Nothobranchius furzeri: one gene and its partners. The protein of the gene in region 1 interacts with the protein of each later gene in a pairwise test. Links are inferred from orthologs where the notes say so. Each region holds a gene or a part of one and is shown in the gene's direction. Other genes may lie near its edges. The genes, in order: RNA-binding protein with multiple splicing, ammecr1, pom121, per1b, sf1, fbxl18 and dazap2.

Region 1 (3,500 bases):
TAGCTGCTGCTGCTAGCCTGTAAAGCTTTCAGTTAATGCGTTGAAGGTAAGCAAATTAGAGTCACAAAGATGTTTTTTCCAACAAAGATTGAAGAAATTTGGGAAATTACAAGTCAGACTGAAGTAAGCTTTTAATTTGACTCAATAGCCATCCAAATACTAGCTTGGCAAGCTGTACTATATTTGTAAATGTATAGTATGGCCATGACCCATATGCAGCTCAGTCATGGGGCAGAAACTACTGTTTTCTTTCAAACTGTCTGCATGCAATTGGACAGCGCTAGGACCAATCAGAGCAACAAACAACATGATGGATTCATAGCAGCATAAATCAGACAACGAGGCCGTCCGCCATACACCGTAGAAGAAGAAGAAATATATTTCTGCTCATGTCTCAAAAAGGAACCCAAGTCTAAATCATACAAAGTTGATGCCAAAGCCATTTCAAATGAGCACCGTTGCTGGGCAGTGGTCATCTAAGCTGTAGAGTGTTGTGATTGGCCGAATCTACACTACACCAAGCCAATGGTAGGCTTGCTGAAGCTACAATGGAGCGTGGCCAAACCAACCTGCAGAGCAAACGTTTTTGTTGTCGCTACAGTTTGTCTAGAGCGCTAGGCTATCCAACCACAGCAGTTGCAAGCCACCAAGTTATTGCTAGCATCATTAGCTAACTCTAGTTTAAAAATATTTTAATGGTCTAACAAGTTATTGATCAGTATCCCCATCTAGGTAAGTTGCAATACTGCTATGTAACCATGACAACCATCTCAGCTGGGTGTAACTGGAGGTGCAAACGCACCGGTCACAGCACCTAGCTTAATTTTGGAAAGCAAAAGATTAAAATGAACACTTTAAGCACATTTCTAACAATAATTATTGTAAGGTCTTTTATTCATCCTATGAGCTACAGACTCTAAAGTAGACCAGCGGTTAAATTCAGGGCATACATTTTACAACAAATTTAAGATAGTCAAAACATAGCAACATATTTATGTTTTGGTGATATTAAATAGCTTATCTTATTGTATCATACACACATTATGCATGGATATCATAACAATATACTAAACATTCCTACTTCTTTATATTTTGTTAACAATAATTACAAAAAATAGTTTATTTTTCTTTGATATTTATCTCTGGAAAATACAAGGTCACACAGCTTTTCCTAACTGGGTTTACTGGAGGGTAGCTCTCCCTGCACTACTGGTGTGTGTGGGGACATGGGCTTACAGGAAACTGGTTTGGGCTTCAGAGCAGTACTCTATTGGGAAAGGCAGGATGTTTTAGCTTCTTCAGCTAAATGTTTTTACTCATCTTTATCATGACTTTAATGCTTTTATCGTAAAAAGACAATGAGGGAAACATGAGCAGGAATCTTTACAGGCTTGCTGTCAGCTGATCAGACATTTTTGGGCTTTGGTTTAAAGAATCACGATAAGAGGATTCAACTTCAGATACTTAATAGTCCCTCCCAGTGCGCACCTCCACAATCACCACCATCACTGCCACCTCCACCCTGCCTCTCTATCCACCCACCCATTCACTTGCCACTCTCCTCACTCCACTCCTCTTCTTTCCACAGATGAGCTCACAGTGCCTGCTCTATATCCCAGCAGCCCAGATGTGTGGGCGTCATACCCGCTGTACCCGGCAGAGCTGTCGCCAGCCCTTCCACCCGCTTTCACCTACCCCTCCTCGCTCCACGCTCAGGTAACCAACACCACCTGTTCCCCATTACCAGCCGTCGCTGCTCCTTCACCACCACCCAGTCAGCCCTCTGATCCCGCTCCATTATTTTTGGTTCTTATCTACACAGAGTAGCAAAGCTTTGTTTTTATTTTCGCCTACGTTATGTTGTAGGTGTCACTTCCCTTGCTGTTTTTCTGCGATCAGTAGAGGATGCCAGAAAGCCAGGTGGCAGCACGGCTTAGCTCCCTCAGGAGAAAGGAACAGCCAGGATATCGGAGAAGCCGGGTACCCTCCCTGTTGGGCTGTCTCCGGGAGGATGGAACAACAGATTATCAGATCTCTGATTGTCGGTCCGTCACTTTTAAAGGGATGGGCATGTTACTGAAACTCAGCAAACCTCTTCTGCAGCGGCGACCTAGCAGATCTTTGACCATGGTGTAACCAGCGAAGCGCGGAAGCCTCCGCTAGCTAGCCTCGGTCAACTTACCTTGCTCATGTTTCGTTACCCAGCCAGCCTCAACAACACGTTATAGTTCAACCCATCTTTGAGCAAACAGTGCTATGCGCTAGCTCTGATGCTCACGCTACCTGTCAATCAAATGTAATTATTTATAATTTCAAGCGTTTAATTACACCTAAAATGGAAGAGTGACAAAAAAATTCACCCATGAGTGTAAACTGGATCTATTAAACCTAAAATGGGTTTATGAACCAGGCGGTAAACATGTTTATTTCTGCTGTGAAGTTGGCATTTTTAACATGGGAGTCAATGAGGATTTCTCTGTTTTTGTTCCAGCACCTACCAGATGAGGGTTGAACTGCAATATTTGTCACTTCCGCGTTGACTTCATGTATTTGAAAAAATGACTGCCCCTTGAGATAAAAAAGCCTTTTAGAGCCCTAACAAGGAACAATTTTAAGATTTTTAGAAGAAATTAAACAGTACTTTTAAAACGTAATGTAAACCCAATTCTAAAAAACTAACTTGTTGTAAATGTTTTTTTAATTCAATTCATAAAATAAAATAGTAATCCAACTAAATCTAATAGTTACTTATTCACACCTCATAATCTAGAAACACAGCTACAGATTCAATTCAGTAATTTATATAGCGCCATCAAGGCACTTTGCAAAGCAAACATTCCAATTGAACATAATCAGCAGTGGCGGCTGAATTTTATTTTGGGTGTGGCACAGAAATGCCATCTGTTAGATGCGATATCCACATATCACCACTAGGGGATGCCAGTTTACCATTCTTATGATAGATTCCATGTTTTCTACCTCAGCAATGACAATAAAAAGGAAGGCTGAAAAGTAGCTAAATACACATATTGAGAAAAACACACAGTAGCAACAATAAGACATGATCCTGTCCTCAGAAGCAGCCATTTAAATTAAAGCCCAGTTTCTCCTCTTTGCAACAATATAAGCACCATCACTCTACCTGCAACAGTCCCGGAACTCAGCAGCAAAACAAACTAAGCTAATCTCATGAAGTTAAAAGCGTAAATTCTGTCTCACGTTTGCTGATTTTTGGCCATAATAATCTGTGGTATAGTAAAAAAAAACTACTTGATTCTGTAATCCAATGTCCCAACATCACACAGAGCAGGTGAATGTGCTTTTTTTTTACCCGCTGGAAAGATTTTATAACTCTCTGATGCCTCATTCCATCATTTTCTGGTTCCTCATAATAACAAAACTCCACGAGGTGTACTCAGCTGCTCTACAAGGACGGTGAACTGTGGAGAATTTCCGGTTCTGTCCTGATCTGAGCTGAGACTCTGCCCTGCCGGTCTTCT
Region 2 (4,202 bases), on another chromosome or scaffold:
AACAGAAGAGGAGGACTTAGACCATCTATTTTTTTTGTGCAATTTTATACAAATATTTTGGTTAGATTTTCATGCCTGGCTTTGTTCTAGTGGGATTCAAATTTCCCCATTTACCTTAAATATGATAATGTTTGGAGTGTTTTTGAAAGAAAAGAAAGTTAGTTATGGTGTTAATGTGTTATTAATTTTGTGTAAACAGTTTATACATAAATGTCGATTTTTTAAGACCAAACCAACACTAGCCTATTGGAAAAATGACTTAAAATTATTAGTTAAATCTTTGAATTTAGTTAAAAAGAAAAAGGCTGGTTTGTTTATTTCCTTTGTAGAAGATTTTGAGTTAGTAAGTTAATAATCTATTAATTAGATGACCCCAGCTTTAGATTTTCGTTTTCTATTGTTTTCTCTTTCATATACATGAAAATGTTGAATATGCATGTAATGATTATCTTTTGAATATATAATGTAAGGTGCATTTTGTTTGTATGTTACCTTTTCTAAAAAAAAAAAAAAAAAAAAAAAAAAAAAAAAAAAAAAAGTCTACGGTAGCAACCGGGCGCAGAACATTTCCTGAATCCGGTTCCGGCGTGCCGACAGCACAGATGCCTGTGTCCACTGCCTGATCGTAGGGGCTTTTACCCGACCAGCACAGAACTGTAGCAGCTGACAGGCGGCGGCGGAGGAAGGGTTGCCAGACCCAGCGGATTTCACACGGTCCACGGACTAGAACGCTCTTCTGTCTGTCTACATGAGCGGATGACAGCCTCCCAACAAACCCGTGCTGAAAACTTTCAGCTCTCCGTTTGACGCGGGGGTGGTATTGAGATTTATAACCAGGTTTAAGTGCAGTCATGATGCAGGTGCAGACTGGGCTAACGGTACTGAAATTACTTGTTCGGCGCTGACGCGTTTTTATTGTGCCATGCCAACCCCGCATTGTCAGATGCCATTTTCCTCTGCGTTACCCCGGCGTCTGGGATCTCTACATTCTGGGCCTGTTGTATAATTAGAAGTTTATATGGCAGTAGCAGACAAGCTGGTGCAATGAGAAGCTACGTTGCCCAAGACACTGTGCGCAGATTGTGCTGAAGCTGATGGGTCCTGCATACGCAAGCTCCCGGCTTCCACTTGGAGAGGCACTGGCGTTCGGCTTCACATCTGGACCGCCTGGCTACTGTCATTTGCGGCCTGCTTACACCGGATACTCCCTAAACTTGCATGTTTAAGGGGAACTGACCGAGATCGCTTTGGATGGTGTTAGAGAGAAGGGGTGGCCACTGGAACACCGTCTCTCGACTGTCTGACTACTGAAGGGACAAACGCTTGTCCCGATAGCCTATGTATTTTGCGTGAGTCACGCATTTTCACAGGCAACGATAGGGTGACATTGCATTCTCACCACGTCGATTTTTTCTTCGTCTGACAAAAAATAAATAAATAAAAAACAAAAAGAGGGAAAGTGAAGTATTGTCCGTCGTACGTAGCAACGCAGTGGGATTTCTACGTCTGGTCGGCGTCTCCCCCCACCCTTCCTGCGGTGACGGTTATGGGTCGGAAGCGGTGTGTCGGTGCAGATTGTTCCAAGATGGCGGCCGGGTGCTGCGGGGTGAAGAAGCAGAAACTGTCGGGATCTCCCGGGTCGGGGGGTCCCGGCGGGGTGGGGGTGGGAAGCGGGGTGGCAGGAACCGGACATTGTGGCTCGGAGTTGGGGATTGGCTCCTCCGCGGCTGTTGCAGCTGCGGCAAACGTGAGCCGAGTCAACGGCCTGGGGGGACCCGGGGGTAACGTTAGCGGCGGCAGTAGTGGTAGCAGCAGTGGCACCAACGCTCTGTCACCAGTCCCGGCCGGTTATACTACATCCGGCCTCTCCCCGAACATCAGCCCGGGACCTGGTTCGGGAAGTGGTGGCAGAAAAATGGTTGTCTCCGCGGAGATGTGCTGCTTCTGTTTTGACGTGCTTTATTGCCATCTGTATGGATACCAACCTCCGAGAACACCCAGGTTTACAAATGATCCCTTGTAAGTACTTTTGTCGTTGTCTGCTTTTTTGTGTGGAAAAAATGGCATTGTTATGTCTTAACAAAGGTTGTCTTCACAGAACTTGTTGAGTTTAGCCTTGGAAGTTTTCTTCACGGTTCAGAAAATGAATTGTCACACCGAAACTACAGTCAGTCTTCGCAAATTCTACTCGAAAGGGTTCGCTGAATGTAGCCTATTTTGCCCAATTTGGAACTCGGGCCTAGTCGAGGAAACCGCACTCAGACCGGTGTTTTGTCGAAATAAGCACCCCTACCGCGAAGAGTCATTGTCACAAGAAGCTAATTTTAAGCCACTTTCATTGATCAAAAGTACAAATTTGTGGTTTTCGGAGCAGTCAAGGGCACAAATATTTATTTCGTATGTAAAAACATTTAGGTATTGTTTTCCAGTAAACTATTTTTCCTGATAGCGTTTCCTGTCTGAAAATCACCCTGTGCAGCCTTCATGTCAACATAAATACTTTTTATATAGCTGTAGCTGATGAGGACGATCTTGTACTCTTGTAAACTTTAGATTTTTACATATATTTTTTAAAATATATATATCAACATGAGCTTCCTCTATGAAAACGTGTTGGAACACACAGGGGTACCTTTTCTGACACAACACGTCAGCTTAACCCATACAAAAACGCTCCACTGAATGTTAGATGATCCTGACATAAAACTGTTTTTTGTCAATGAATGTCGATGTATACGGTCAGTTTATGTTCTTTTACGCGTCAGTTTTGGAAATAAATTAATAAATTCATGGTACTGACGTCCTAACTCGCAAAACTGTGGCTAAGGTATAAACCTAGCTAACGGTGTTTGCTACTAGTGTTAGCTAATATCCGCTAGCAACTGAAATTAAAACGAAAAGAGGACGGAAATAATATAACATCGCTTTTATGCAATGCTATAGAACACTGTTCGTATGTAGAATGTATGAGCTAAACAGCAAAAGTTGACTTTCGTTGTTTGTGATCGTAAATCACCCTAAACGAACCATGGATTTCTACATACTAGGCTTAGCTTTGTTAGCTGTAAGCTGTATTAGCCTAGCATCGAACTAGTGTGAATTTTGTTTATTTATAGAGTCGTTCAATGTCTTAATGATATCATGACAACATCAAAGTTCAATTGTATCACTTAATTTTTACTAATTTCACCCAGTGTTGGTGAGTTTTGCCGTGGAATTAATACAAACTAACGGAGTTTATCATCGACCAACAAAGAAAATATGCTAATTGCTAAGTGCTTAGCAGTTCTAAGCTCTGCCTTATCTAACCGGTGTTAAAGAGGGACTAGTGGCACCGGTAGTTAAATAAAGCAAGCACAAAGCCGGCTATGTCTGGCCATTTAATCATCTAAAACTGATATGTTTCTGACACGGTTAAAGTTACCGTCAGATCAATAAACGTATATATTTTGGGAGGAACCGCACACCCATCGCCCTCCACGGAAACCCCACCTTACAGTAATGTGATCGTATGTGCCTGAAAGGTCCATTACTCACATTTAGAAGCTTTTAAACCTTTTTTTTTGCAACCTTGATTGATTGGCTCCTTTTTTAAATTCGAAAGTCTAAATAAAGAAACACGTTTCTAAGAGTAAACTTTTTACAGGAATTAAAGGAGAATACTATTTACATGGAAAGCACTTTCTGTATTATGCAAAACGGGTGATCTTGTGTGTTGTGCAAGTTCACATTCCGCAAGAACTAATTAAAAACCACGTTCACAAGATGAAAATGATAATTTCTTGTCACTTTATCATTAAATACATGCATCTGCAGGAGCATTTTCCTACAGAAGTTATTAGTTTTTTTGTTTTTTATTAAAGGGTGCACGATAGAATGGTTTTGGTGATGAGATTTTTCTTGTTTTAGTTTGATGCCTTTAAATTGTTAATGTTTCCCAAAAATCAAACTTTGTTCCTTTTGAACATTAGCTGCTAAAGTACATCCAGCCTAGTGTTTCTCTTTTCTCTGCTGGTATTTAATACAACTGATTACACAAACGTAAATTGTTTTAATTGGTAAATTCAATTATCTATTCTGGATTTCTTTTGCTCCTAGTTTTTAATGATTTTCTTGCTCAGTTACTGGTTTTCAGCCTCTTCTGTTTCAAAACAAACAAACTAAAAACTTGACCAGACCTGATAAAGTCGGATAAAAAGAAA
Region 3 (4,103 bases), on another chromosome or scaffold:
TGCGTCTGAGGGGTGGGCAGTAAAGTCATGGTTCCACAGTTGGTTTCATTTGCCATGTAATGCTTGGAAATTAAAAGTTACATTTGTTTTTAACTTGTGACCAAAAATGTTCCGTTATCACAATAAAAGGTTAAATTTGCTTTTGCTTTCATTTGAAATGTTTTACAAAAATTGTTCAGCAGTTTCCCCTGAAGCCAATTAAACAGACTTCTAAAAGTTGCAGAATAGACCAATTTTAGATGGCAACATGTAAACGGTGTTAACAAAAAAAAATCTGCCACAATTGCCTTCAAAATTAAATCTCAAACTTAATTCCAAATCCCACTAGATCTCCACACTAACAGCTCATAAATATCAAATGCATGTAAAACTTAATGTTAGCATATTTTGAGGGCAGATCTGAGCTTTCAGAAGGAAGTATATGTATTTGTGGTTACAGCAAATAATTCAGACTTATCTATCTTTGAAATTGTTTCACAAGCAGGGAAGAGTCATCAAAACATGTTTGTGAAACCTAACGTTTAATTTAAAGCGAAGGTTACAATACTGGGATAAAGATGGAGCATTACCCTTGTCTTGGCATCAATGCACTGCTACCTGCTTGCTTTAGTATCCAGTATAAGGTACTTTAAAATCTATGCATGGCCTTAGGGCCTTACTCAACATTACTTTTGAGCTGCTGCTGTTCTACTCCTGTGGGTCTAAGGTCAGCTGATGAGATGGATGCTCCTGGAAGTCCCAAGAATGAGACCTAGCCTCTGAGGTGGGGGCTTTTAGTGTAGTCTGGAATGTGCTGCCTTTAAATATTAGGTTGGCATCATCGCTGTCTTGTTTTAAATCTCTTTTGAAACCCCTTTTTTATGGCTTTTAACTCCGCATGAGTCTTTTACTTTTAAGAGTAACATCTAAATTAACTTTTTTGTCTGTAGATGTGTAATCAGTGTGGCAATTTGGTGCAACTTTAAATTTAATTTCGGCCCAAAACTTTATATCTCCATCTTCAGGTTAAAAACTGCTCCACATTTATTTAGAATCAGCCACAGCTGATGGCTAAGCTGAAAAACGTGACATTGTCAGCAAATCACCACGTGGCTGCAGTGCACTGGTCTCCAGCTGAGGTAGCCGCACCTCCACCTGGCTCAACCACTCACCTGCCGATGTGACAAGTTGGCGCTCGGAGCCGCTTGCCCCATGCCTCCTTGAAAAAAACGCCCTCCTCTCCTTTTTCATCTAATGATCGCGGTTAACAGGAAACCCTCCAGAATGCTGCAGAATCTGAGTCTGCTATTTCCCTGAGCGGTAAGTCTGCTGTGAGTGTGTGCTTGCGTGCATAGGCGAGTGTGCACGGTGACGTGTGGATTGATGGTGTAGTTCGCTCCTGTGCTCGGTAGGGAGCGCTGCCGCGCGAGCAGTTGGATAGAGCAGCAGCATGTTGAATGCGAGAGAGGCGGCGCGCTACCGCCATGTCACCTAGGGAGAAACAGTTAGCGCTTCTCTCTGTTTTAGGATTAATCACCTTCGCTTTTTACTACATCCCCACTTTTCTGTACGCTACTTTAATTTTTGCAGCTTGTTGTTTTGCTTTTTATTATCACAGCGGAGAATCGTTTCCCGCCAGGTTAGGCCCGAATCCTCGGGTTGGATTAAACGTTTCGGGCGTGCTGCGGCGCTGGTCGTCGGGTTGGACAGCGACCGGCGTCTCGGTGGCCGCGCGGAGTAGAACGAAGAACCGCAACCGATCCGAGCACCATCACCGGGAGACAGAGGGACTCCCGAAGCTCAGTAAAACCGGGCTCTGTCGAGGAGAAGCCTTAGCAAGTGACTCGATTCTTTTCAGCCCTCGGGATTTTCTCATGGGGAGTTACATCGGGAAAGCCGAAAGTCCAGCGGCCGTCTCTGGGAGGCCAAAAGCCGGGAGAAATCCCCGGGAGCAACTGCGAGAACAACTGTCCAGACCCAACCATGCAGTTTATACCCCGAACAGGAGGCTTTCGTTCTCTGGGTGAGTTAATTAGGTTTATTAAGCTCTGATCCATCTGTTTAAATTCACGTGTTGCATGAAAAAGAAATGTTTATAGCGTTAGCTAGCTTGTTAGCACACAAAACCCACATGTTTGAAACGTATAAAGCTCTAACCAGAACTCTTTAACTTGGAATCGTTTTAAAAACATCCAATAACTTTGTTTCATTGGCTTCTTTTACTCATGCTTTTAGCTAAGTTACTGTGATAAATCTTTTGTTTTGATGGCTTGTTGTGTCTACACGCTTGTGTTGTCTAAAAACTAACAGAGCATTTTACTAACTTTTCGTTAAAGTGCATATCTTTACTTTTTGGTTAGGATGAGCAGCATAGTTTCTTTTTCTATGCAGCTGCATGTTTCACATGTAAAGTGATTGTTTTATATTGTTTTATTTCTATTCCATAACATCTGTACGTTTTAACCTGCTGAAGTTGTTCCTTCCATTACAATCTCCTCTGCAGGGAGCCTCTGGGTGCAGCTAACAGGTTCACCATCACCCCCCAGCGTCGCTACCCCCTTCAGCAGCCTGGAGTCTCCTCAGTAGGAGTCCTGCCTCCTGTCAAGTGGGATGGTTTCAGAAAAAAGAACATCCTGAGTCCTCGAAATTCCCCTGCTGCTCTCAGTCCCGTCACTGTAAAGATCGCCAGGCCCGACCACAACATTCCCAGGTCTCTGCAGGTTAAATGTTTTTGGGCACGACCGTTTATTTTTAATTTTTAATTTTTTGTCTTTTAATTTACTATTTGGATAGCCCTTGATTTGTTGCTTGAGGTCTTGCTACTTTCAGCCGAATCAGTGCTGACTGTCCTCTGCTCTGGTTTTTAGTGTGAATCATCTGAGTTGTGCAGGGCTCACCAGGGTCCCGGCAGACCCCTGCTCCAGAGAGAGCGTCCTCAAGGTGTTGAAGGAAAGCCGCAAGAGGGAAGTAGAGGATGAGGACAGGAGCTTCACCGCTGAGCAAAGAAGCAAAAGAAGGTAGAAAATTTGTTTAATAGATTCTTGAGGTACTGTCTGCTCAGTCTGGACAATAGCAGCTGTCTTATGGTTTCTTTTTATGGCTTTTCTTAGGCGCAATGACAGCGGTGGAAGTTCGCACTCTGCTTTTGAGCCTCTGTTGCCTAATGGAGCACCATCCCAGCTGGTCCCTAAGTGAGTAAGAATTGTATGTAAAGCTGAATCATAATCTTAGATGTTGGACAAAGCTTTAAATGTTGTTTTTATTAATGTTCTCCAGACCAGGGAGCCTAAAAAGAGGGATGACCGCATCCTTAGACGAGACCACCATGAAGAGGTCTCGCACCTCCTCCATCAGCTCTAGTTCTGGAGTTCATGCCCCGAGAGGAACTTCGGGTACCAGAAGAAATGCAATCCAAAGCTCCTACAGCTCTTCGATAGGTTTTAGTCAGGTATCTTCATCTACCGGAGTCTAGTAAAGGGGGTTTTTGCATAGCAAAAGCAAATCGAAGCATTTTTTGTTTTTCTTTACAGTGGAAGAAACCATCTGCACCCAGCTCTCCTCTATCGAGCCCTGAATCGTCTCGCTCTCAGACTCCAGAGGGATTTGCCAAAAGACCCAGGTCTGTTTCTGCATGTTTGTCATCATTAAACCACATTTAACTACAAATTAAAGCTTTTTTTATGTTTTCTAATCAACAGAGAGGATGACACTCAGTCTCCAAGCTCTGCATCCTCAGTGAAGTCGGACCACACTGCATCAGACAAGACCCTTGATACCAGTAATTCCCATTTATCTGTAGATGACTTTTCCAATTTAGATGATTCATGTTCAAAGTATGGTCACAAACAAATATGATGTTGTTTCATAATATTGCAGTAAAACAAACTCCGGTGATCAAATCCCCAGTCACAACCTCTGCAGACTCGACTGGAAGTGGTGGGAAGAGAAAACGGAAGATCCAGCTGGTGTCCAGCCACCGAGATGATCGCATCTCTCTGGTGAGGAGCGCTGATCTCCCTCACATTTGTTTATTTGCATCCAGATTGCATTATTGTGGTTGTTCATGTGCAGCCTCCACCTCCTGAGCTGGGCTACACCATCACAGCCAAAGATCTAGACGAAGA
Region 4 (3,500 bases), about 12 Mb from region 1:
GCAGGCTGCACAACGAGTCTGAGCTGGTCAGAATACAGCGACTAGCTCACAGAGGGAGACTAAACGAGTTGTGTGGACTAAACTCTGGTTTCAGCGCTCAGAGGTCCAACGTGCCCTGATACAGAATGTAACAGGTGGACAAACGGTTGGTCCTTCTGACACAGATCCGGTGTGAAGAACCAGATTCTTCAGCGTTCACATCACAAACGCACCACTTCATTAACTCGGTTTCCCAGAATGCTTTTACACTAGTCTCCTCTGTGTCCATCAGCTCCTCGCATCCCCCCAGACAAGAGGATCTTCACCACAAGTCACACGCCCAGCTGCCTCTTTCAAGAGGTGGACGAGAGGTCAGAGACACCATTTAGCTATTTTTAGATTTTATTGTGATTTTTGAGCATTTAAAGGTTTAATTGTTGAGTCTGAGAAACTGTCGGTCCTTCCCGTTACGTCCGTTTTTACCCAGTGGTGTAAAAGTCACATTTCTGGTTTATTAAACTTGTTTTCAGGGCCGTGCCATTGCTGGGCTACCTGCCCCAGGACCTGGTGGGAACCCCCATCCTACTCTCCATCCACCCGGAGGACAGGCCCATGATGGTGGCCATCCATGAGAAGAGTGAGTTGCAGATTGTCTTTCAACAGAAACAAAAAAACATTCCCAACACGTGTTAAAAGCGAATCCCAGAAGGATTCTTGGCTGTAAAGTTGTTGTTTTTGTACATTTAGTTGTTTCTGTCGTCTGTTTCCAGTCTTTCAGTTTGCAGGGCAGCCGTTCGATTACTCGCCCCTCAGGATGTGCGCTCGCAGCGGGGAGTACCTGACCATTGACACCAGCTGGTCGTCCTTCGTCAACCCCTGGAGCAGAAAGGTGGCGTTTGTCGTGGGACGGCACAAAGTCAGAACGTGAGCCTGTTGTCTGATTTTCTTTTTGCCGTGTTCGCACATTTCCTCTGGTGCGTCGCTAATGTTGCCATCCCCTCACCGGGCCTTCAGGAGTCCTCTGAACGAGGACGTGTTCACCACCCCAATGGGCTTCGAGAACAGGGTGACCACGCCCGACATCGTCCAGCTGAGCGAGCGGATCCACCGGCTCCTGGTGCAGCCGGTGCACAGCGGTGGCTCTCAGGGCTACAGCTCGCTGGGCTCCAGCGGCTCGCGGGGCTCCCGCCAGCAGCACCTCAGCGCCTCCGCCACGTCATCCAGCGATAGCAACAGCCCCGCCGTGGACGACGTCGCCGCCACGGTTGCGTCGCACAAACCCGTGAGTCTGATCCATGTTTGGAATTTTTACACCGTAAATATCACCAAATCCTTCAGGCGTGAAGTTACTTGGGTTTCTCGTTTCCCACCAGATGACGTTCCAGCAGATCTGCAAAGACGTTCACATGGTGAAGACCAACGGGCAGCAGGTTTTCATAGAGTCTCGGAATCGCCCACCTCCTCGAAAGAACGCCTGCGCAGGTGACCTGGAAGGCTTGTCTGGTTAGATGGAAGAAACCTAGATGTTAGGCCCCTCATTTTAAATGTTCCTCTCTGTTCTCCCGTCGAGGTGCAGCCGGGATCGGAGCCATCGGCGACGACCCAATCAGAGGTCTGATAGCAGACATGACTCAGCCTCCCAAAGCCTTGGTTCCTGCTCCGCTTGTGCAGAAGGAACCTTCCACAGGATACTCCTACCAGCAGATCAACTGTCTGGACAGCATCATCAGGTGTGTGTGTGTGTGTGTGTGTGTGTGTGTGTGTGTGTGTGTGTGTGTGTGTGTGTGTGTGTGTGTGTGTGTGTGTGTGTGTGTGTGTGTGTGTGTGTGTGTGTGTGTGTGTGTGTGTGTGTGTGTGCAGATGTTAAAGCAACTCTAAATAAGTTCTCCACTTCTCCCTAGGTTAGATTTCTGGATCAAGAATCACTTAAACCCATTTGAAAGCAGCATCCTGAACTTCCTGGTGCTGGTTTAAGAATTCCACTCACCCTGTCGTCTTATTACAGATACTTGGAGGGCTGTAACATTCCAAACACCATCAAAAGGAAGTGTGGCTCCTCCTCCTGCACCGCCTCCTCCACCTCTGATGACGACAGACAGCCTGATGGCAGCGGCAACAGCAAAGGTACCTTTCATACGAGACTAGCCAGCTATTTTACTAATATTTAACACAAGTAGAAGCGGGAGAACCCAACTCTCTGCTCATTCAGCCCAGATGTGCGAGTCAGACTCATGAGTTTTACATCTGTTCGATGACCCGGTTGCTAACGTGTTTCTGTGACCATGATCTCTCTTCAGGTGGTTCAGTTAACCTCGTAGGTGAACCACCTCCTCTGCCTCCTCTGACCATGGCCTCGAAGGCAGAGAGCGTAGCCTCAGTTACGTCTCAGTGTAGCTTCAGCAGCACCATCGTCCATGTAGGAGACAAGAAGCCTCCAGAGTCAGGTGGGCACCGTCAAGCACCCTCACTCTCCGCAGATCTGTGATGGGAACACGTCAAGATCCCTGGACTTCTCTTTTGTTCTTATCTGATGTTTTTCTACTTGTAGAACTATTTCAGACTCTTTGAAGTTGGTTTTTGAACATTTAGCCTCTTACCCAAGAGAAATGGTGTCATTCTAACCAGATTTACAAGCAAACAGCTGGTCGCTACAAGTTCACACATTTCACAGCAGAACATGCCAGCTCTGTTTAGCAAATGGGTTAAAACTCTTGTAAATTTTTACATAGAATGCTGCTGAAATAGTTGGAAGCAGTGCTGTTTCCTTTTTCTTGACTTTAGTAGTTTCTAAATGATCTTCAGGAAATATAAAATCAAACTGTAGCAAATGAGGATTTGTTTTTCATCTTAGATTATTAGCTCATACTTTCTACTCTTCATATTTAAGTATTTTTTTCCCTTTAAATGTAGTTTTACAGTGAAAGTGACCTTATTTATATACATTCACATGTGGTTGATTTACAGTCAAAACCTTAAATTTCTCTAAGAAGTAGAAAAATGCAAGTTTTTAAAACGTTAAGAATATTTTCAAACATTCAGAGTAAAAAATTTTAAGTTGAACAAGTTAAAAACATTTTTAAAAAAGGAAATGGCTTAAAAAGTAACGCATTACAAAACGTTTTCCAAAGGAAAAGCTAAAGGTTAGCATTTTTTTGAGAAAATTAAAAAAGTTAGTTCGAAAAGTGAATAAGTAAGAAAAAGTTTTTAAAAGTTTTTTTTAAAGGCAACATTGAAAAATATTAGTTTTCAAGTGGAAAAAAGCTACATTTCATCAAATGAAAAAAAGGTTAAGTCAGTGATTTAAAAGTTAACAAGCCTTAAACATTTTGGGGAAAAAAATGAAATGTCTTAAAAGTAACACATTACAAAAATGTTTTGAAAAAAAAAACGAAGTTTAGCAAATTTTGGCGAAAATTTTTTAAACAAATATTTGAAAGCGAACAAGTAAAAAATTTCTAATTTTTTAGAGGAAAAAAAAAGCAGATTAACAAGGAACATTAAAAAAACAGGACAGCTTAAAA
Region 5 (3,954 bases), on another chromosome or scaffold:
CTTTCATGAGTCTCCTCGTGGTGGTTCTTGAAGCGCTGACTCCAGCTGCAGTCCACTCTTTGTGGATCTCCCCCACATTTTTGAATGGGTTTGTCGTCACAATTCTCTGCAGGGTGCGGTTATCCCTAGAGCTTGTACACTTTTTTCTACCACATTTTTTCCGTCCCTTCGCCTGTCTGTTAATGTGCTTGGACACAGAGCTCTGCGAACAGCCAGCTTCTTTAGCAATCACCTTTTGTGTCTTGCCCTCCTTGTGCAAGGTGTCAATGATTGTCTTTTGGACAGCTGTTAAGTCAGAAGTCTTCCCCATGATTGTGGTGCCTTCAAAACAAGACTGAGGGACCTTTTAAAGGCCTTTGCAGGTGTTTTGAGTAAATCAGCTGATTAGAGTGGCAGCAGGTGTCTTCTATATTCAGCCTTTTCAGAATATTCTAATTTTTTGAGATACCAAATTTGGAGTTTTCATTAGTTGTCACTTATGAATATCAAATTTAAATGTAATGAACATTGGAAATACATTGGTCTGTGTGCATTGCATGAATATAATGTACAAGTTTCACGTTTTGAATGGAATTACTGAAATATTTTCAACCTTTTGATGATATTCTAATTTACTGGCCAGCACCTGTAGATTGTCAAGAGGAACTTTTTTTTTTTGTCATTTCATGTACAGAACAACAAAGGCAAACGTAATTCAGTTCAATTGACATCAGAGCAGGTAAACAAAATAACACGAAACAAAGAAAAATATAACATTGAGATTTGTTAACCTAGGGGTTATTGTACATTGCTAGGAAGATTACACAGTACTTCATATATAAACTCAGTAATTATCTTTAATAAATTGAAGGGATTATAGATACCTAAGTCGGATATGAACACGTTAAAGTTAGGGGATACATTATGTATTCTTTGTTTATGTATGAACACAAGACAGAGGACTAAGTTGTAGCATAGTTCTTTGTCCTTGTCTTGAAGTAGAGGAAAGTGTTCGTAGATTGTTCTCGATTTCAGCATTGCTGATTTCACACAGGGGGAGGGTAAAGCCGTTTCCTGATTATAGATTGGTTAAAATACAACGAACTGGAAGCCAGTTGGACCAATCCATTTGATCCATTTCGGAAGGTGATTTAGCACTTGAGCCAATAGGAAGACATGTTACTTGAACGTGACATCAGAAGCCTCAATGCTCAACCTTTGTCGTTTCTGTTGGGCGCCATTTTGGGAGAAGTTTCAGAAAACAAGCTGCGGTGACTTTTCTCTGACAGATTAATTACATTTAAATAAAAACTCGTTGATATAACGTTCGCGTGGCAAAAGCCATTTCAGTTTATTGAAAATGGCGACTGGAGCAAACGCAACCCCCCTTGGTAAGCTTCACCCTAGCATCGGTGCTAAGCGAGGCTTTGACGCCGGGCCTGGTGCGGGCAACGGGCTGATGCCGACTCCTGGACCGCCCGGATCGTTTCCGTCTCTGCAGGGTTACCAACCTTCCATGCCAACCACACCATTTCCTCAACCACATCAGTTCAACCCAGGGGCAGGTTATTCGACCCTGGTTCAACAGCAGTCAGTTGTAGGATCCGGAATGTCTGCGGGTAAGTTAGTCAAACATCCGCTAACGGCGCTAGCTCAACACGCGTTAGCGTCAGGTTGTGGGCCTGCATGGAACTCTCGACGCGAAATGGAGTCCCCATTCCTGCGGGTAGCGACAAAACAGCCATAAAAACGTGAACACAACAATACATTTGCTTCTATCGTTTAAGTTGACAATATCTTGCATGTTTTAACAACCAAGTCAAAAGTAGCGCGTTAACGTAATGCAGGGTTTTGTTTTACTTGTCGGTGTTTCTCATCTTTCCCCCCTAATCTAGGATGACCATATTTTGATTTCCCAAAAAGAGGACACATGGCTAGATCATGACAAACTTTAATATAACGATAAGAAAACTTTTAAGATAAGGCACGCCTTCTCTGTGTGGTGAAATAAATGTCAGACGTCAGACAGGCTTTCACAAGTGAACAAGTATACTAAATTTCTCATAAACCTCTTGCAATAAATAACGATAAAGCGTAATCCATAAGAAAATGTACTTGTAACCAAACAATAGTTCTACAGGATGTATGAGCAAACTCCAGAAATATTTTACTAAATGCATTTTCTATTGTTTCTTCTCCACTTAATAATAAAAAGCAGTAGTCATTTGAAAAAAACAATTAACATCAAAAGTCCATAGTTTTTTTCATCCTGTTTATTGTCTTCATCTTCTATGCTGTGGAGCAGATCTTTCTCAGGGGCAAAAGAGGACGTATGGTCCCCCTTCCCTAATCTGCGGTTTCTTCAGGCAATGTTATTACTGAAGAGATCTTCTGTCGCGTTGAAACGGGCGGTTGTGCAATTAATTTTGTGTAAATGTATCTGTTTACTCACTCAACTATGTGATTCAGCAAAATCTAATCTGGTAAACGATACTATTAGGGCTGCAACTAACGATTATTTTTCATAATTGATTAATCTGTCGATAATTTTTATCGATTAATCGGTTTGTTATTGTTTAGCTATTTAACCTATACAAGTGATGAATACATTTCAGTTAAGAAAAAGAAAAACATAGGAGAATTATGCAGTTGACTGCAATCGATTTTATTGCACATGAACACAGTCAGCGGTGTAAAATAAGCTAAACAGTGAAAAATATCAGTCCTGAATAATTTTTTGGCATCAAAATATAAGCGGTAAATTCCATGAAAAATTATGTAGAATCTAGAATAGAGTTTGTAAGTGGTATGCATTGCTGGGGGGGGGTGAGTGTCTTGTTCCCCATGTAGTTGTCCATCGTTGCTTGTTTTTTTCTGCATAAGAAACACAAATAGACTGAAATAAGTACACATATAAAATAAAGCAGCACACACACTACAACACTAAATCAATATTATATTATTTGAATTAACAATATACAGTGATCATTTATTTTGATAAAAATGCGTTGTGAGGCGTTTTACAGCGTTAGATAGTAAAACAGCCTTTTAATAGCCTTGAAGCTAAAGCTGAAATAATGGCCAAAGGAGGAGACGGCAGCGCTCAGGAGGACATTTATTATCCCTCAAAGAAGACAAAGTGGGAAGTACGGGCATGTTTTCGATATCTGAAGAATGCCGAGGGACAGTTGATAGAAGACTGCTATCCTGTTTGCAGCACGTGCAGAAAAAGTGTCTGTGAAAGGCAGCAACGCTTCAAATCTCATGACACATCTGCGTGACCATCACCCACAACTCTACAGTCAACGCAAGGCAAGCTAACGTTAGCGTTTTAGCTAAAATGCGTGATCCGAGGATTTGGGTTGAGGGAGAACGCAACGAGTCGCTATATAAAGCAGCTGCAGCGCCGCTACCTGCATATAAACCGTGTCGCGGACACCCCCCATGTTGAAATGACGCTATGCATTACGGGGCTCCCAGGGGCGGATAAGAGTTGGTCTCTCTCTGAGAATAATTATGAATTTAACAATGATTACTGCCTGATGACATTTTCCCACATCTGCAAAGCTCACTGGAAGGACACAAACCGAGGACGATATTTTCCTGATATAGGGTTTATTACTCAAGTAAGGGTAAAAAAGTATCTGATTAGAAGGCTACTTGAGTACTGAGTATCATCTGGTCTAATATTTTTAAATGATGACATCAAACAGACAAAATAAGAAGTTATGGGCAAATATTGGTATTTTAAAGACTAAAGGGAAAAATATAAACAAATAAACAACATAATTACAAAATAACACATTTTAGGCAAAATTTAGACACAAACTGAGGACAATATTTCCTGACATACAGGGTTTATTTAATTGTGTGAAAATGTAACACGTTTAAAAAAACTTCCGTGATAATACCGAAAACCGTGGTAATTTTGGTCACAATAACCGTGAGGTTAAATTTTCACACCGTGACAACCCT
Region 6 (4,290 bases), on another chromosome or scaffold:
CTTTGACGGAGATTCATTCTTTGGCACAAAAGATGGATGCCATCAAGGAGAGAGTGGACGAATCAGCACGGATTGGGATAGATTAACATCCATTATTGGGATTCTGAGAGGTTGAGGACCAACAAACTGTAAGATAGAGAAGAAGTTATCTCTGTCTGGCCCCAAAACAATTTCTAATTGGAATCTGGCGTCCTTGAGCCTGTGAGGCTCCAACAAACCCCCCCCCCCCCCCCCCCCTCAGAAGATACGTGGAATGTATCGTCGCTATGGCAACTCAACTCTACCTCCTTTCCCAGCCTGGGCGGGACAGCAGGAAGGCCGCTGAAGCATCCAGGGTCACTGCAACCCTCCAACCCTTAATGCCCCCCCACCCACCCCCCCACCCCCATGCGCTGCTTCATCGTGGCTGCAGGAACTGAAGTTGGGATAGTCCATACCCACCACCCCACCTAGTGAACACTTATGTTGTGTTGTCTGAAGTCTGTTGCATATCTCTGTCTGAGGTGTTTTTTTTTTTGCAGCGCAATGCTGCCTTCCCGGTAGAGGGTAAAGCTTGGTCCGCGAGGTCCGTGCGGCGAAATTGCGTCATTTTAACAACCACGCCCCTCCACCGCGCCTCCGCACGGCCCAAAATTCCGCACTGCACACCTAGGAAAATTTCTAACCACCCGGACGGTCGGATGTGGAAAAACATGGCGGACCGGCAAGATCTAGTAAGGCAGAGGTTCGTAACTACAGACATTTGTATGATTCAGCTCTCAGAGATCACCGTGATCAACATGTTGTTAATATTTCTTGGAGAGAAGCTCGCACTGTTGGAAAAGACGAGAACGCTGTTTAAAACTGCTGGAATGCCATGTTGTAAACAACAGTAATTTTTACTTCTACTATGGTGTAGTGTTGGATGCATGCTGTAGAGCTCCATGCAGCCCCGTTCAGTTTGAGAGAATATTGGCTCACCGCAGAGACGAGCCGCACGAACCATAAACGCTGCGAGTTGTGAAGCGCGTTCCATCCGCGAGCCGCATCACCAAGTGGAAAGTGAATGCGTCAAGCATAAACCAACCTTAACTTTGAAGTGCCTTTTTTTCCCTCCACCTGAACCAGTACTCATGTAACCCTCTTATCTCTATTAAGGTAGTGTGACTCAGGGTTGCGAATGACCACAATCACCAATTCTTGTCATGTGTCTTGCCCATGTATGTCTGATCTCAGAATTGTGTGTACTGAAACTCTAATTTCCCTCTGGGATTAATAAAGTATCTTTGATTTGATTTGAGATGACTTAAAACGCAAAGGTTAATAAAAATATACGGATTCGTGACCAGGTAAAACAAATCTTTGTTTCACTGTTTGTGCGTTCATTTGTGAAAACCTGCTGTGTCTACAACACAGATGTTTTTTTATTTTTATTTTTTTTCCTGGATTAACAGGAAGTAAGTCCGTAGGGGTAATCGTTCCGTGACTTCCGTCATGTGCAGTGCAGCGGTAAAATCCTTCCGTCTAGGTGTTTCGTGGTCAGCAACCTGTGGTTCAGACGTAAAAGCGAAATTTTTATTTATCGAAACACCTGTTAGGTGAAGGTCTCCTGTTTAGAAATCTTAGATAAGGCTTTGGAGAGAGCGACAAAGGAAATGGATGGACAGATTTTGCAAGTAGGTGTTGCGCCAAACCTCTACGCGACGGATTTTACTTGGTTACCGCGGAACATAAAAAAAATGATGTAAATTTTATCGCTAAAGCGAACATTGTTGCTAACTTTTTTACTCTAACATCTTCCGTCTGTCATCTAATTGCCCTGCGTATGGTCTCAGAAAGATAGTCCCAGTCCTTAGCACTATGAAACAATCAGATATGATTGTAAGCATTTTATTTTATGTTCGTGTCAGAGCTGCCACATTCAATGAAATGAATAAAACATGTTTGTAAATGAACAGGCTACTTGTATCAGCATTTTGTTGCCATTTAGATTGTAATGCTTTTTTGTTTTCTAATTAAAATCATGTACTAAAATGTTACAGAAGTTAAGAAGAATGGCAACGTCTTAAAAAGCTCGAAGATCACCCAAATCACATGCCTGACATCTTTCTGTCGTTCTCAGGCTGTTTTGGACTCAGAGACAGCGTCTCTGTCTGTTGGGATGTCCAACTTGTCTGATGAGATCCTACTGTGTATCCTTCATCACGTTCCAGTGTGTGACCGCCTGACGAATGTTGCAATTGTCTGCCGGAAGTTTTACACACTCTGCCACGACAAAACCCTGCTCTCAAACGTCACGTTGTCTGAAGAATATCTGGTAAAGCTGTTTGATTTCTTTTGATTGGTGCTGATGAGGAATTTTTCATGATTGTCTCATTAACTTTTCATTTTCTTTAAGGCTGATGATCGGTTAGTTCGACACATCCTGAAGAAGCTTGGCAACAGCGTGCTGTCTCTCAGCCTGAACGGTTGCTACTGGCTGTCTGGTTCCACACTGGAGCATTTGGCACGCTGCAGAGCAGTAACACACCTCGATGTGACGGGCTGTCGCATCAGTTATCTCTGTCTGTCGCACCTCCTCTCCTCTCTGTCCTCTCTCAGATCCCTGGCGTTTGATGTGAGACCGTGCTTTAACTCTGCTTTGCTCAGTTCAAAAGCGGTGGACTCGCTGAGCCGCTTGACGGAGCTCAAACAGACGCTCTTAACACCAAGCTATGGTGTTGTGCCATGCTGTGCAAAACTTCGCAAGTAAGGACTTGCAAGACAGATGCTTATATTTAGCTGTTTTTAAGCCATCATCCTTAAATATCTCTTCACCCTAGCTACCATGACTGTCAAGCAACTGGAATGGGATTTACTTATTTGTGAGTTTCTGTTTTAAGCTTCCGGGTTACAGATATAAAGATTTGGTTCTCTGGTGTGTGTGTGTGTGTATGTGTGTGTGATAGGCTAATGCTGCAGTTTGACATCCCAGATGTGACCAGAGAGGGTGTGGGTGTTAGCTGTCAGTTAATGGTTGGTCAGAGCAGTGTACCGCATTACGAACAGCTGGAGGAGTTCACAGCCAGACTGGCTCCAGGAGAGGTGAGTGTGTTAGTAATCATTTAAACAAGACCCAGTCCTGTCTGTAACACTGTACGGGATGTTTCCGTGTCTCGTTGGCTGCAGGTGAACCAGACGCTGCTCCTTCTTTACCTGGCGGTGTTCAGTGTTCACATTCCAAAGAATCTCAGAGTTTTCCTCGTGTCGATTCCCGGTCCAAACCCGGTTCACTGGCCGGCTGCTTCCTCGCTGGCTCAAAGTTTGGGTCAAAGAGGAGACCTGGTGGCTCTGCAGCTCCCTCGATCCTGGTTGGATTCTTTTTCTCTAAAGCGAGCCTTGGAGGGGAACAGCCCCAAGCACCTGAGCTTTAGCCGTTGCCCCGCTCTGTGGCCGCAGGTGTTCCAGTCGCTTCTGAACGGAGGAGTCCGAGATGCCACGGAGCTCATCAGCCTCAACCTCAGCGGCATCAACCACGTTCTTTACTCCGAGTGCAGGAGCGTAGAAGATCAGCTGGTTACTGTGACCCTGAGTCAGCTGGCTGAAGTCTGTTCCAACATTAAGCACCTGAATCTGATGCACACACACTACCATCATGAACACACACTTGCGCTGGATGGAGAAACACACCTGTGTACCAGTTTGGGTCGATTCAAACAGCTGCGCTCTCTCACCCTGCCTGCATGCGCTCTGTCTGACGGTGTGAACACAAATCACATCTCGTCTTGCAGCTCAGCTACCTCCGCGCTGTTTCAGGGACTGAAGAAAGCTCCTCGAGTGGGGCTCCAGAACTACAGACCTGACTCAGAATCCTCTCTCTCAGGAGACAGCACTTCAGGGCTGTCTTCGCTAGTAGCTGGCTGCCCTTTTTTAGAAACCTTAGAGGTTATTGGGCCAGGGTTTGTCTCAGCGCTGCCTCGACTCGAGCCCTGCACTCGTGCCAGCGTGGAGCCTCGTGGTATGTGCGCCTGGGCCAGGGAAGTTGGAGACGCACACTTGGCGGCACTTGAAGCTTTGCCTCAGTTGCGCCGTTTGTCTCTGGCTGGACTTCCTGGAGTTCTCAGAGGAACAGGACTGGTACAACTGGCCAGACGGTGCACAGACTTAAGAGTTTTGTCTTTAGCCAACCTGGGATCTTTGAAAACTATGAATTACTCCCCTGCTCTGCTGGAGACACTGAAACAGTGCACACAGCTGCAGGAACTCAGGTCAGAATATTCCTATAGTGTTCTTTTCCCTTTTAAAAAAAAGTGGTTTATTTTCTATTTTTAA
Region 7 (3,929 bases), on another chromosome or scaffold:
GGGTGGCATGTGCTACCCCAGGCCACTCCCTGGACACGCCTCTGACCAAAACAAAGTAATTCGTGTGCGATCGTTTATATCAGTCCATATTCTCTGGTACTTCATGTACTTTTCAGCTGACTTCATAATCTGTGCCCCGGTGATTTCAACTTATTGCTGCTGGAGCGCAACGAATATTAAGCTTTTTTTAAAAAAATGTTTATTTTATTTTTTTGTGGGTTTGGTAGATCCCTTTGGCTGATTAGTTAGAAAGTAAGAAATTTAGGGAACAGTTTTTCTGGAAGACGGAGAAAACATGCAGCATGCAGGAAGGTTAGAGAGAAAAAGGGCAGGAAATTATTCAAATAAAATCAAGAAAACAAAACAAAGTGCTTCAAAAGAAAAAAGTAGGTAGATTTATCCCCAATACACATTTTTACCAGTGAAAAGCAATAATATATAAGCATTTAATATTTATACATGTGATAGAATCAGATCACCCCAGAAGTCAGTCCCACATCCAGGGCCATATCAAGGCATTTGGGGACCAAGGCAAATATAGGCTTGGAGCCCCCACCATGCTCAGTTAATATAAGATGGCAGCGTGCTGAGAGTACAGATTGTTGTTGCTTTTATTTAATAAACAATAATTTTAAAGCACTGTTATTATATCTGACTGTTTTTAACAGCAACCCTAGCTAGCTCAGACACATCGACATACATATATGGACAATGGGTTTCCATAGACTTGCTCTTGCATTGTGGGGGCTTGCTCAGACACCACATCACTTTCCACATATATGTCATGAGCTCACTGAGCGTCAGATTACCAGATTCATATTGAAGTTGTATTGTTGAAAGTAACTTAAAGTAGTTCAAAAGTAGTTTAATGCCTTACATTTTAAAATCAGTAATATTGTAATGTAATGAATTACTTTAAAATGAGGGTAACAAGTAATAGATAATGCATTACAGTATTGAAGTAACTTGCCCAACACTGATTGTAGTACGCACTTAAGTATTAATTTCATTTTACGTTTAGCTAATATTTAGGGTTTTTTGTGCTTTTCATATTCCTTTAAAAACAAATCTCATTTCCTCCAGAAGGGGGCGCGCGCGTGCAGGTGAAACTGAGCGTGCGTCCGACCGCAGATAAAGAACGGGTGACGTAACCACTTCCACAACAACAAGAAGCTGAGAAACAAGGAAGTGTCAAGCCGTAAGCTATTATAAGGCCGAGACAAGATACACAAAGCGCCGTTTAATCTGATGTTCCTCAGCCTCCGAATCAGTCCACAACAATGAATAACAAAGGTATTTCTCCGTCGTGTGTTTCATTTTCCAGCTAGCTACTCGTTACTTGACGTTGGCGTTGTAAGGAAAGACGAGGAGCTCGCGTTGTGGCCAACTGAAGCTACGTACATAACAATAAACTGACGCACACTCCGAACCAAGCTGTCTTGGATATTGCTAACGTCGGATGTCCGAATTTAGTTTCACATTTTGTTATTTGACCAAAACGGGCCGGTCAGATGTGTTCCAGCAAGCTAACGTGATTATAAAAGCAAATCTGACATGGCTTTCCTGTTTTTGTTGGGGAGGGGGGGAGTTCTTGTTAACAAAGAACATCCCGGTTACATTTATGTTTTTAGACCTGTTCGGCGCAAAAATGCACCAGGTTGTTTATTTCTTCTTTTGTTTGTCTTATTTGAGCTTAGATTGTCTTTTTGTAGCATGACATCTTTGTTCGTGGCTAATGCTAATGACATTTCATGATATTTTTCTTACTGAATTAATTGTTTCACTAAAGCTAAAATAGAAGCAGACATTTTATTCAAACTGTAATGCGCGATGGTCGATTTGTCATGTTGGAAAGACAAAGAAAATGTAAAATTCACATTTGTTTACTAACCACCAGGCTTTTGTGCGTTGTGTTAATCAGATTCGGCTTTATAATAAAATCTTCCATTTACATTTTATTAATTTCTAATCCGTTCACTTGTGTTTTTACAAGTAATACATTTTTACCCTTTGCTTATACTGTCTGGGCTGAGAAAAGTGATTATGTCTAGTTTCCTGGTATTGTTTGCCATACAATGCACTCAAAACAAAACTAGAAACTCTCTTGGCAGTGACAGACTTGCTACAGTCATCACATAGTTTGTTATAATTATGCACAACAGTTTCAGTTGCTTAAATAAATCCCCCCTGATGATATTAAATAACATGTTTCCATCAATATTTAAACATTGTTCTTTCTTTTACTGCCGCCAAATGTTGGACCTAAAGACACTTTGTGTCAAAATCTGGTTTTTGTTCTTTTGTCTGTAAAATGTAGAAACGTTCAAAGTTGTACCCGAAAAAGACCAACGTTAGCTTCAGTATACAAGACATTGGGATTTTCTGTAACGTGTACCACTCAGTAGTTGCGTTCACATCAGTAATAATTTCATGTATTTAGCTGTAAATGTAATCAGCTCCCTCCCATCTCCACTCAGAAGCAGCATCAGTTTATTTATGATGATGATGATGATTGAGAAGAAGTACTTGCAGCTTAATGTTAGTAGTCAAAGTCATTAGTAATAATCAGGGATGTGTATTTTTGTAATTCTGGCGATACGATACATATCACGATACAGGGGAGACGATACGATGTATCCTGATATATTGCGATACATTCAGTCAGACGTTACAAGCTATTTTTTACTGAATTTATTATAAGCATGTTCAATAAACAGTCAAAACTGATATGTAACATGTTTAACATGAGGTATCTGAACCATGATGGAGGGATTTACAGTTCAATGGTGGAAACAAAACCCGTTGCACACTGCTGCCAACTAGCGGGTGGCGATTGAATTGCACAAAACGAAAAGAAAATACACAAATGTTTGCATGTTTGCATTCTTTCAAGAATTAGATACACGGCTTTTGAATATCAATGTAATAATCACAGGGAAAAATATCACGATATATTGCCATATCGATATTTCCTATATGCGGCTTTTGAATATCGATATAATATTGCTGGAAAAATATCGCGATATATTGCCATATCGATATTTCTGATACACAGCTTTTGAATATCGATATAATATTGCTGCGAAAAATATCACGATATATTGCCATATCGATATTTTCTTACATCCCTAGTAATAATGAAACGGTTCTCATCCCATAATTCTTCAGCTGTGCGTGTTTAAAAGTGAAATGTTGTTTTGCAGGCTCATACCCACAGCAGGCTGTGTACCCTCAGCAGAGCTCTGCACCTGTATACCCTCCTGCTATGCAAATGTCTCCTCAGGCACCTCCATACTCAGACACACCACCTGCATATTCTGAGGTAACGCTTGCATCTACAGGTCAAGCCTAGATTAGCTTTTTTTTTTTTTTTAGTATTCTTCAATTAAATCTGTTTCTCGTGTCTTTGTATGCAGATATACCAGCCCAGATACGTGCTTCCACCTCAGGTGCCTGGTCAGGTGCCTCAGATGTCCTCTCCCTACCCTGGTGCTCAGGTGTACATGCCCATGCAGCCACACATGCCCGTTGGTCCGGTGGGCCAGAACGTTCCCATGGCTTACTATCACATGGGAGCTGTTTACCCCCCTGGTTCAACAGTGATGGTGGACGGTGGCTTTGATGCTGGAGCTCGTTTCACAGCTGGCAGCAGTGTTTCCATCCCAGTGAGTACGGAGTGACTTAACCTGTAGCCAAGGCCTTTGTAACTCTTAACCTGCCACTGAGCTCGTTTCTCCTCTTCTCTAGCCCCCACCCCCTGGACACCCCCCTAATGCAGCTCAGCTGGCTGCCATGCAGGGTGCCAATGTTGTCATGACACAGCGCAAGAACAACTTCTTCCTGGGCGGATCCAGTGGAGGTTATACCATCTGGTAACAGCAGCTACTCCCCTCCTTGTTTATGCCTAAACCGTACCCCCGTCCCAGATG

Evidence for each region.
Region 2: the proteins of RNA-binding protein with multiple splicing (region 1) and ammecr1 interact in binary tests that used the Homo sapiens proteins (3 or more experiments, as listed by UniProt). The two-hybrid records come from large-scale screens. The link is inferred for Nothobranchius furzeri from reciprocal best matches to the Homo sapiens genes RBPMS and AMMECR1.
Region 3: the proteins of RNA-binding protein with multiple splicing (region 1) and pom121 interact in binary tests that used the Homo sapiens proteins (3 or more experiments, as listed by UniProt). The two-hybrid records come from large-scale screens. The link is inferred for Nothobranchius furzeri from reciprocal best matches to the Homo sapiens genes RBPMS and POM121.
Region 4: the proteins of RNA-binding protein with multiple splicing (region 1) and per1b interact in a two-hybrid assay, tested with the Homo sapiens proteins (2 studies listed by BioGRID). The link is inferred for Nothobranchius furzeri from reciprocal best matches to the Homo sapiens genes RBPMS and PER1.
Region 5: the proteins of RNA-binding protein with multiple splicing (region 1) and sf1 interact in a two-hybrid assay, tested with the Homo sapiens proteins (3 studies listed by BioGRID and IntAct). The link is inferred for Nothobranchius furzeri from reciprocal best matches to the Homo sapiens genes RBPMS and SF1.
Region 6: the proteins of RNA-binding protein with multiple splicing (region 1) and fbxl18 interact in a two-hybrid assay, tested with the Homo sapiens proteins (2 studies listed by BioGRID). The two-hybrid records come from large-scale screens. The link is inferred for Nothobranchius furzeri from reciprocal best matches to the Homo sapiens genes RBPMS and FBXL18.
Region 7: the proteins of RNA-binding protein with multiple splicing (region 1) and dazap2 interact in binary tests that used the Homo sapiens proteins (3 or more experiments, as listed by UniProt). The two-hybrid records come from large-scale screens. The link is inferred for Nothobranchius furzeri from reciprocal best matches to the Homo sapiens genes RBPMS and DAZAP2.

What each region holds. Positions count from the first base shown.
Region 1 is NC_091742.1:66,831,331-66,834,830, forward strand, and holds part of RNA-binding protein with multiple splicing, read left to right. Parts: intron 1-1,588; coding exon 1,589-1,716; intron 1,717-3,500.
Region 2 is NC_091750.1:52,185,808-52,190,009, reverse strand, and holds the start of ammecr1 (nuclear protein AMMECR1), read left to right. Parts: upstream 1-1,402; 5' UTR 1,403-1,546; coding exon 1,547-2,019; intron 2,020-4,202.
Region 3 is NC_091750.1:52,615,023-52,619,125, reverse strand, and holds the start of pom121 (nuclear envelope pore membrane protein POM 121), read left to right. Parts: upstream 1-1,303; 5' UTR 1,304-1,436; coding exon 1,437-2,002; intron 2,003-2,482; coding exon 2,483-2,689; intron 2,690-2,846; coding exon 2,847-2,996; intron 2,997-3,089; coding exon 3,090-3,170; intron 3,171-3,255; coding exon 3,256-3,427; intron 3,428-3,509; coding exon 3,510-3,598; intron 3,599-3,677; coding exon 3,678-3,757; intron 3,758-3,855; coding exon 3,856-3,977; intron 3,978-4,050; coding exon 4,051-4,103. Other genes in the region: polyubiquitin-C, read left to right, coding at 1-23. UniProt on the Homo sapiens protein: Essential component of the nuclear pore complex (NPC). The repeat-containing domain may be involved in anchoring components of the pore complex to the pore membrane. When overexpressed in cells induces the formation of cytoplasmic annulate lamellae (AL).
Region 4 is NC_091742.1:55,047,132-55,050,631, reverse strand, and holds part of per1b (period circadian protein homolog 1b), read left to right. Parts: intron 1-271; coding exon 272-350; intron 351-509; coding exon 510-616; intron 617-749; coding exon 750-903; intron 904-993; coding exon 994-1,261; intron 1,262-1,352; coding exon 1,353-1,461; intron 1,462-1,549; coding exon 1,550-1,709; intron 1,710-1,984; coding exon 1,985-2,103; intron 2,104-2,276; coding exon 2,277-2,423; intron 2,424-3,500. UniProt on the Homo sapiens protein: Transcriptional repressor which forms a core component of the circadian clock.
Region 5 is NC_091743.1:88,306,302-88,310,255, reverse strand, and holds the start of sf1 (splicing factor 1), read left to right. Parts: upstream 1-1,154; 5' UTR 1,155-1,339; coding exon 1,340-1,598; intron 1,599-3,954. UniProt on the Homo sapiens protein: Necessary for the ATP-dependent first step of spliceosome assembly. Binds to the intron branch point sequence (BPS) 5'-UACUAAC-3' of the pre-mRNA. May act as transcription repressor.
Region 6 is NC_091744.1:14,834,120-14,838,409, forward strand, and holds the start of fbxl18 (F-box/LRR-repeat protein 18), read left to right. Parts: upstream 1-1,490; 5' UTR 1,491-1,634; coding exon 1,635-1,655; intron 1,656-2,101; coding exon 2,102-2,296; intron 2,297-2,377; coding exon 2,378-2,727; intron 2,728-2,927; coding exon 2,928-3,063; intron 3,064-3,147; coding exon 3,148-4,226; intron 4,227-4,290. UniProt on the Homo sapiens protein: Substrate-recognition component of the SCF (SKP1-CUL1-F-box protein)-type E3 ubiquitin ligase complex.
Region 7 is NC_091755.1:37,294,029-37,297,957, reverse strand, and holds the start of dazap2 (DAZ-associated protein 2), read left to right. Parts: upstream 1-1,129; 5' UTR 1,130-1,280; coding exon 1,281-1,293; intron 1,294-3,203; coding exon 3,204-3,322; intron 3,323-3,416; coding exon 3,417-3,665; intron 3,666-3,747; coding exon 3,748-3,876; 3' UTR 3,877-3,929. UniProt on the Homo sapiens protein: In unstressed cells, promotes SIAH1-mediated polyubiquitination and degradation of the serine/threonine-protein kinase HIPK2, probably by acting as a loading factor that potentiates complex formation between HIPK2 and ubiquitin ligase SIAH1.